Linked DNA regions of Bombyx mori. The protein of the gene in region 1 purifies or fractionates together with the protein of each later gene. This does not show direct contact. Links are inferred from orthologs where the notes say so. Each region holds a gene or a part of one and is shown on either strand. Other genes may lie near its edges.

The links. The genes of interacting proteins can lie anywhere in the genome.
Region 2: the proteins of CCR4-NOT transcription complex subunit 1 (region 1) and protein Tob1 purify together in Homo sapiens (co-immunoprecipitation; 3 studies listed by BioGRID and IntAct, counting the BioPlex papers as one, with this or other methods). This does not show direct contact. The link is inferred for Bombyx mori from reciprocal best matches to the Homo sapiens genes CNOT1 and TOB1.

The regions. Positions count from the first base shown.
Region 1 is NC_085107.1:17,975,552-17,979,842, reverse strand, and holds the start of CCR4-NOT transcription complex subunit 1, read left to right. Parts: upstream 1-1,434; 5' UTR 1,435-1,992; coding exon 1,993-2,094; intron 2,095-2,201; exon of another isoform or gene 2,202-2,342; intron 2,343-3,007; exon of another isoform or gene 3,008-3,118; intron 3,119-4,291.
Region 2 is NC_085116.1:12,120,309-12,124,632, reverse strand, and holds the start of protein Tob1, read left to right. Parts: upstream 1-1,479; 5' UTR 1,480-1,824; intron 1,825-2,502; exon of another isoform or gene 2,503-3,184; intron 3,185-3,394; exon of another isoform or gene 3,395-3,560; intron 3,561-4,324. UniProt on the Homo sapiens protein: Anti-proliferative protein; the function is mediated by association with deadenylase subunits of the CCR4-NOT complex. Mediates CPEB3-accelerated mRNA deadenylation by binding to CPEB3 and recruiting CNOT7 which leads to target mRNA deadenylation and decay.

The DNA.
Region 1 (4,291 bases):
CAACAAAAAAACATATATGTCAACATAACTAAGGTATCAATCTACTCTATCTAGGTCATAGACCTTTAGAGTAAAAGGTAGAGAAAGAAAATATCTTTAACGTTTATCGATAAAATCTAATAATATTAAAATCTTCTGGGCAGCATTTTTTTTGGTCAGGAGGAAATCGCCGAACTTCCGCCCTCCCCTGGGGATGGAAGGCGGGGCATGTTGGAGTCGAACTGACTAAAACCTCCTGTCGCTCAACAACCCGCGTCCGAACCTCGCATGAGACAGAACCCATGAAAAGGCAAAGGGGGGAAAGTGAAGCGTTTAGTGCGGAGCACATCTCTCCCATCACCCTCCCCCTCGGGACGCCGGACCAGCGGTCGTCGGCGCCACGACCACCAGCCCTCTCGGTCGGCAGGCTATCCGGAGCCCGTCTAGATGGCGCCGGTTTGAATGGGTTATCCTACGGAATACCCCGCTGGGTCAGAACCAGCGTGGGTCGAGGATAACCGGCCTTCCATCACCCGGATGCTTTTGCGTAAAACGCGTGCAGAGCAGCTTGCACGTCGTCTTCTTAGGCCCCCTTCGCCGGTCCCCAGACCGACATATGAAGGGGACCCGAAACATTTAGAGGGCCAGGGCTTGGGCGAGATCCGCCTCCCTGGCCCCCGCTCGACGGCGGCGGGCTTGCGCGTCTCTCACGCGCCCCGCCGCCTCCTTCTGCGAGATGGTGCACTCGCAGAAGTCGAGCATCGCCTTCCACGACTCGTCGTCGCCGAGCATCGATGCCAATACACTCGGCAACGACAAATTGTTTCCTATTTTTGCGACGACAGCACGGTGCACACCCCTCCCATGCGGGGCAGGCGACGAGGGCAGCACTAAAACCGCCTTGTTTAGCGGCCAGATGACGTCACAGTGGCACGCATTTTTTGTTGACGTTTCATTTCCATAGGTTTCATACTTCAGTGATCTAGGTGGAGCAGGGTCATGTCATTGTTTTTAAAATAGAGTCAGATCATTTTGTTAAGTGGCCTCTCTCGGTGACAATAATAATATGACAATGCAACTGGGGAAATTGATGCTATGTGTCATACTAAGCGTATGGCGTAATGTTAATATTAATGAGCAAATAGTTTGCGGTGAATTACGTCCCGATCTAGTAGATTCTGATTCTGGTCCAGCGGACTGTCTTAGAGTATTAGCAGTACCGTCTCAATGGCATAGCCTATCGCTGACTGCACTAGTCGAAGTTGAGTAATTATTGCGGATGAAGTCACCGTCGTATTTATAACACATAAACAAAAAGCAAACAAACTTAATCATCACATGAATGTTTGCCCGATGTGCGTGTCGGACTCATGACCTATTAAAGAAATTAGCTTCTCTATTAGCGAGTTAGTCAATTCAAAGTGATACAACGAAATTCATTTTTAGGTAACGTTTCAATGGTTAACGTCAAACTGTGTACTCGTATATGCTAAGGAATACATACGAATTATAACTTCTCTAGTTATCTGGTTTTAACTAAGCTATTAATTGGTAATTTTGGATCTATAGCTCTACACAGAAATTTAAAAAATGCGTTGCATAGAGTCTGTCGGTAAAAAATATTTTATTCCTAGCAACTCTAGATGAGAGTGTTTGCTCTACCTATTGCGAGACGTCCAATCTCTATCTAGTCGGTGCTCTATGGTAACTCTCTGGGCTGCGGACGTTCACGAAAATTTTCCGAACATGGCACGAAGCAGCAGGCAGCCACTTTGGTTCTTTCGTCATCGTGTGCTGATTACTACTGAAATTTAATTTATAAATTGCTGAGTGGGGTGATAATAATTATGTTGTTTTTATCAAAGTGAACAATAAAATTGGTGATGTTGGGCTTAGGTTTATTATCATTTCGTCAGAAAACTACCAAAGAACACAAGTTCGTCGTAGAAAATCATAAAAAATCGAGAAAGCTTCAAACGTGTTTGAAGCTTTCGTTTTTGCATTAATGGAACTATGAACCTGGACTCTTTAACGTTGAGCTTATCGCATATACATTATCTCGTCGTAAATTTAAACAAGAAAAATTTCAAGCAGACGAGTCAAGAATTGAATCAGGTAAGAAAACTACCATATTTTATCATTCTTTGTTTTCTGTTGTCGCCATATTGTGAATATTGGCAGCCACGAACTCTTCGCCTGTATGTGTGTGTAGCGTCGGGTTGTTCTATTTGGATATGTTATCGATCGTTATCGCTTTAATAAGTGCTCTGCGTTAGTTTCTTGTGGACACTTTTGATTTACATTGAAGCGTTTGCCTGGTGGCGCATCTCCGCGGAATGATGTCCGGAAATCTATAGTCATAGGTGGCACCCATTTCATTTCCTTCAGCATTTCATTTGTTAAACGTCAATAATCTGCTGTACATATTACGTTTATGATTCATTATTAATTTATCTTAAGAATATTTGAAAAAAAAGCTAACCAAATAAAGTTGAATGTTTATTCTTTTTTTAAAGTATGACAATTTTATTATTCATATAAGTAATAATATGTAATATAATAAATAAGTTAATTAATTATAACAAAGGTTAGAAAAAAGAAAAAAATTTGAAGGTCATTAATAATGTGTTGTGCTATCTGTGCTAATGATTCAATACAACTTCTTTAAAAAATCAGTTGCTAAATTTGTATTATCATACTACTTAGAATATAATAGTTATTAAAAATGACGCAAGATTATTTCAACATGAAAAACACGTTAGAAATTACCCCACATCTAGTCTTTATCAATGGTTGTTTCAACAAACTAGCCTAGCAATAAGTAAAATGATAATAATTAAACTAGTAGTAAATTGCGTGAAGCATGTTTTTGACATGTTGCTATTGCAACATTGCCTGAGTGATTTTCATTCCGTTTGGTTGCTCTGTTTTACTTCCGTGTGTAAAGATTCTAGGAAACATGTGTTGGACACTGTTCAGTAAAATAAAGTAGCAAAATACAGTTTTGACAGCAAAGGAAAATAACTGCTAGTATATAAATTGTATTGTGGGTAGACATGTGTTTTTTAACTGTCCTTAATACTGAACAAAGAAGACAGCAAACACTAAGGAAATCAATTTAATATTTACACCACTTTAAGTAAGCAATTACTATTTATTTTATTTCCCATTAAAAATACTGAGTGTTTGTTAGATTCTTGAAATCGTAATATTATTTATTATGTTGATTAGCAGATACCTACATACATATCTACTACTAAAATATGAACTCTGTCATAAGAAGACTTAGTATCTGCAGTAATAGATTTGCCTCTGATATTCTGTTAAATACCAACATTTATTTTGTAAAATATATGTTTGTACCTCATGTCTAATAACAAAATGGTAAACAAGTAAATTATTTAATAAAAAAAACAAAACCACTGCATTTAAAATATTAACTGAAATGCAAAAAAAAAAAACATGTAATGTTATTAATTAGGTTTTAGGTATTATGATATTACAGGTAAGGGACAAACCAGTTGTTCAATTGGTGGTGTTTGAATGGAAACAAATAAATTGTATTTCTTTGCCTGTCCTCAGGCAGGTATTTGAACTTTGAAAACTGCTATATAGAACAAGGACTCTCATAAATGTTATAAATGTGGATATATATGCTTATTCCTGTATGACCATGTCTTTATGTTGAACAAAAATTATCAAGATAGATAAGCTATTTAAATATTAAAGTGAACAATCAGGTCAGGTCAGGTAACTTATTTACTTTTATGAAAAATTTGTTACTTTAATTTGCTTGGTTACCTACTACATTTTACTGATTTTAATAACAATATAGTACTCAAATATGACAAATAATCCAGTACTAATAAAAAATAAATAAGTAGTACTCCATTATCACTACATAGTATAAAACAAAGTCGCTTTCTCTGTCCCTATATCCCTATGTACCTATGCTTAAATCTTTAAAACTACGCAACGAATTTTGATGCGGTTTTTCTTAGTAAATAGAGTGATTGAAGAGGGAGGTTTATATGTATAATAATATCCATTAAATAGTGGACAAATCAATAGTAAATTACAGTTTCTGAAGCGTAGCGAGGGCGGGTCGCTAGTATAGTATATGTAAAGCTGTCTTTTTTGTCACCTGGCTTTCAAAATGAACTTTCCTCCTAAATCTTTTCATGTATTTCTTCAAAGTTCAAAAATTGTTCTCAGTCTTAGAAAGTTGCCTAGTTGTGTTCTTTATGCTCAACTGTTACCATTGACCATTGGTCTTAGGTTCCTTCTTCTTTCTAAAGTGATTTTAAAAAGC
Region 2 (4,324 bases), on another chromosome or scaffold:
AAGCGTATACATATTAAGATTACTTCGAGCGATAATTTTGTCAAATGGGTGTAATTCGTCGTCCTTTTAAAATTCCTTTACATAGAGGCTAATTTAATTTTAAACTATCTAATTTTAAAAAAAAACGTCTCTATAATTCCTGAAGAGGTTTTGTTGTGTTTATTGATACGTATACTGAATACTCGTAATGACTGATTTCTCATTTTTGAGATGAAAAAAATTTCCTAGTGTTTCATTTAAGTTTTGTTCATATGTGCTGTAGACATTATTGGTATACGTTATTTACACGAACAAAAATGGTAAATCCGTTCATTATCAAACTCTGCCTTCAAAGCTTTAAGAGAATATGGCGATATTTCATAACGGCTTTTTGATTTGTTCAAAAATGTAAAGTAAAGTGACTATGTACCTCGCCACTTGCTTATTTCTTCTATTCTGAACATCTTTAGACAGACTAAACTTGGGATGATATTTTTAACCGCATTTATTCCTTTCATCAACAGTTACCTTGAAACATGTAAAAAAGAGATAATAAAGAGAGTAAAGATTCGTAAGTTATACACCAACTTATTAAAAATCATATTAAATCTAGAATTTTACGACCTTATGTATATTAGTTGGGATAAGCCGGTTGTTCTAAGCGCACAGACTTACATTACGGCCTGGGATCTCTATTTTCATTTTCATTACACGTTATTTTTCCTTTGTCCTGGAAATGTTTCGTGAACAGGTCTCAGGTATATTTCTAAAAGTGACAACATTCAGTCAAATTATAAATAGACTCTCTATAAAAACAGTCAATGGTCACTATTATTTGATAATCTTGTTTCTGGTGGTCACGAACGATTGACCACGAAAACTGTTAATTATTCGGAACGATGGATAATACACGCAATATTAAACCGTAAAAGTAGTTTCAATTAAATCATAATTGTGTTTTATTTAGAACAATTATTGGGTAAAATAGACCTCGTATCAAATACGGTTTGCTTGGACGAAAAAGGTACGTGTTCCAAGAAAACGGGATTTAACACTTTTCCTTACACAAGCACCTTTTTCCTTTGTAATTTGATAAACGCCGCAGCGATGACGGCCCAACTTTTATTTGACTATAACCCGAAAAAAGAGGTCTGAAAACTTTTCCAATTCGCACTTCAAAAGAAATTTTCCGTCTCGGTTGTCTTTACCCAAAATTTTAAGTTATTCGAAACAAAATTGCGATTGTTCCATTAATAATTATATTTTTGTATGTCTACGCTATTGCATGCTACGAGTTTTGGTCCCGTAGCTATCTATATTGACGGCATAGTTTTGATAACGGCATGCATCTAATCAAGCCTAGTTATGTCCTTAAACTTGTCAAGTGTAGCATCACGGTAGAGCGGGCAAGTGCAGCCCAGTCCCCGTGACCTACATCCTCCGACCCTCGCTCGGGAAGCTGCTAATTTCCAGCATCGCGGGCTATGCCTACGTCACAGCGGGGGCAGGGAGGCACCTCGTCGGTCGCCGCTGCCTCGCTCCGATACTCCGATCCGACAGTCCATAGCTCCACAGCGACTCGACGAGACGCGCTAGTCGACCCGCGCTGCGGCCGATCGCGATCACAACCTCACTCAAGCCGCCTGAATTCCACAATCTAAAGTGTTTCAATTATATTTTTAGTGCGTAAACTGTGTATAGTATTTTTTTTAATTGCAAACCGTGACATCGAATCAGGCGGGCTGACGTTCGGGTGGGGCGCGTTCTGCTGACACAGTGGCTTAGTCAACCGCCGGTCGCCGAGTGGCAAGCACCATCGATTTTCTCCATACGACTGTTCACTAGGTACGTAGCATCACGTGTTCGTATTTTCATCGCGGCTATTTCCACGCGCCGGAGTATTTTCAGGCGATCTGCTTAACGTTCAAGGCCGCGTTTGTTTGCGTTCTCACTTACGTTACTGCAGAGTTTACGTTTATGTTTTGAACGCTTGTTTAGTTTTTTTTTTTTACGCGTTGTATGTCATCGTGTTGTCACGTGCGATTCGTTCGAGAGGAAAACGAATCGGTTTCACGGCTCGTGATCTTCGGCGCGTGCTTAGAATATGAATTACGATAACGCTTTTATGGTAAAGGTAGAGAGAGTTATGCGCATAATTTTTTTACTCTATCACTTACACTTTTATGTTTCAATCTAAAAATATATTCGTAAAGAAACGTCAATCAAGATGTTTTTGAATTTGGCCAGATGTGTGACGGAGTGGTCATGAGAATGGTCATGACCTAAAGAGTGGCACTAAATCAGACGAGAGTGATCCGTATTCTGGCAGTCGTTCAGACAGCGGTTCATTCAGAGATCTCTCGATGTTTGCATTCTTTAAATTGTGTAAATAGAACTTCGTCTAGTAGTTCTTAGTACATAACTAATTTTAGTTCGAAAAGAAAGGTACTCTTTTTTAAGAAGATTTGTAAGATTTTCGATCAATTTATCAATGTGAGGAATTAGGCAATAATACTCTTGAAATAGGAAACCAAATAAATTTATTTTCACGAAATATGAGTTGGTAAACGCAAAAAAAATAATGGAAATCACATTTCTTTATCTGGAACTGTTATTGGTTTTTTTATCGCGGTTACATCGATTGCATTACAATTACAAACAGTTTTTTTTTGTGAAAGAAATATATTTTTTACTGCGGACAGTTTACACAAAATAAAATCAGGTTCAAATTCGTTCAACTGATAAAAAATAGTTCGCATAATTAGGTGTATTTATTTATATCTGACGGGTCAAATGCGTTATGTAGTCACGGAGCACAGACTTCAATCAGTGCTTATTAAAGTATACTCATAAAAACCTTAATTATTCGAATAATTTGGAGTTCAAAAAAAAACATTTTTGTTTTATTGATTTTTCCCTCAACCTATTGAAACAACACACCCTGTAACGTTGTTTTTGAAAGAAGTTTCCTATTTTGAGAGTGATATAGCATGTTGTTAATCCGTAGAGGGTAGATGCCCCATCTTGCTTCTAGTTCGAAGGCGTTCAGGATAGTCACTATTGGATCCAGTTCGAGCAACTTATTATGGTTGGATGCGTCATGTTGTGGGTGTCTCTATGGGTTTCTGAAACCAGGCCTGGTTGGCTCGACTGCCCTGTATATGTTATAATTATTAACTTTATCAACTTTCCATTTGAAAATATCCTGTAAAACAATAACAATAATAATAATAACACAGATGATTTTGATAAATCCCTAAATCTTTACTTCAAAATTGTCAAAAGTTTTATGTATTGTCATAATTTCAGCTTAATCGTTTAGTGTAAACGCTAAATTAAAAAATCAATGGAAACCGTAAAAAATGTTCTTCTGAAAAATCTAGATCTAATAAAATAATAATAGAGTTGTACACACCGAAAACGGAATGCATACAGAATAGATCCATTTGGATGAAACTTTGCAGGATGTAAGAGAGCTAATTAAATTACCGAATAAAGCATTTATTCTGTACACAAACATAACACTCGATATCACGAGGCGTACATACAACGCCAATATCAATAATCATGTGATTCCTTTTACTAGTCACTCGAGTTATTAATGTCCGTATTCCATAAAAATTCTATTCGTGAGGCCACAAAATAAATAGACTGTTGTTACTTGAAAATCATAATAACATCAATTACGTATCGTGCTTACGTGTGGAAATGACGAACTATTAACTCGATTTCGAATTTTGTACGTGAATTGAATTTTTGTATTTTTTATTTCTTTGATAGTTTTATATTTCCATGAAATAAGTTTTACTTCACACTCGCGATTCGTTGTTATACCATATATATACTATTTATTTAATACTAGCTGACCCGACAGACTTCGTAGTACCTCAATCGATAAATAAAAGACCTAAACTTTTGTATAAAATTAACTTAAAACAAACAAAAGGAATCCGTCCGACGGGGGACACATCAAAGGAAAAACATTTTTTTTTTAATTTTATTTAATTCCGACCATTTTTATATTTATCGACCTTTTAAACCTTCTCTGGACTTCCAGAAATAATTCAAGACCAAAATTAGCCAAATCGGTCTAGCCGTTCTCGAGTTTTAGCGAAACTAACGAACAGCAATTCATTTTTATATATATAGACATTACGTCGAAAGTAATTCGTACTAAAACCAAACTGAAAAACACTATTGAATCTATATGCAAACAAAACGCCAAAATCACAGGTAGTCACGCGTGCCCTTTATAGGTACTTTAACGAGGAAAGGGTTGAATAAACAATGTTTAAAGGTTGACGCCGAGTCGAGCATGAAATTAGTTTTCTTTTTAAGCCTTTCG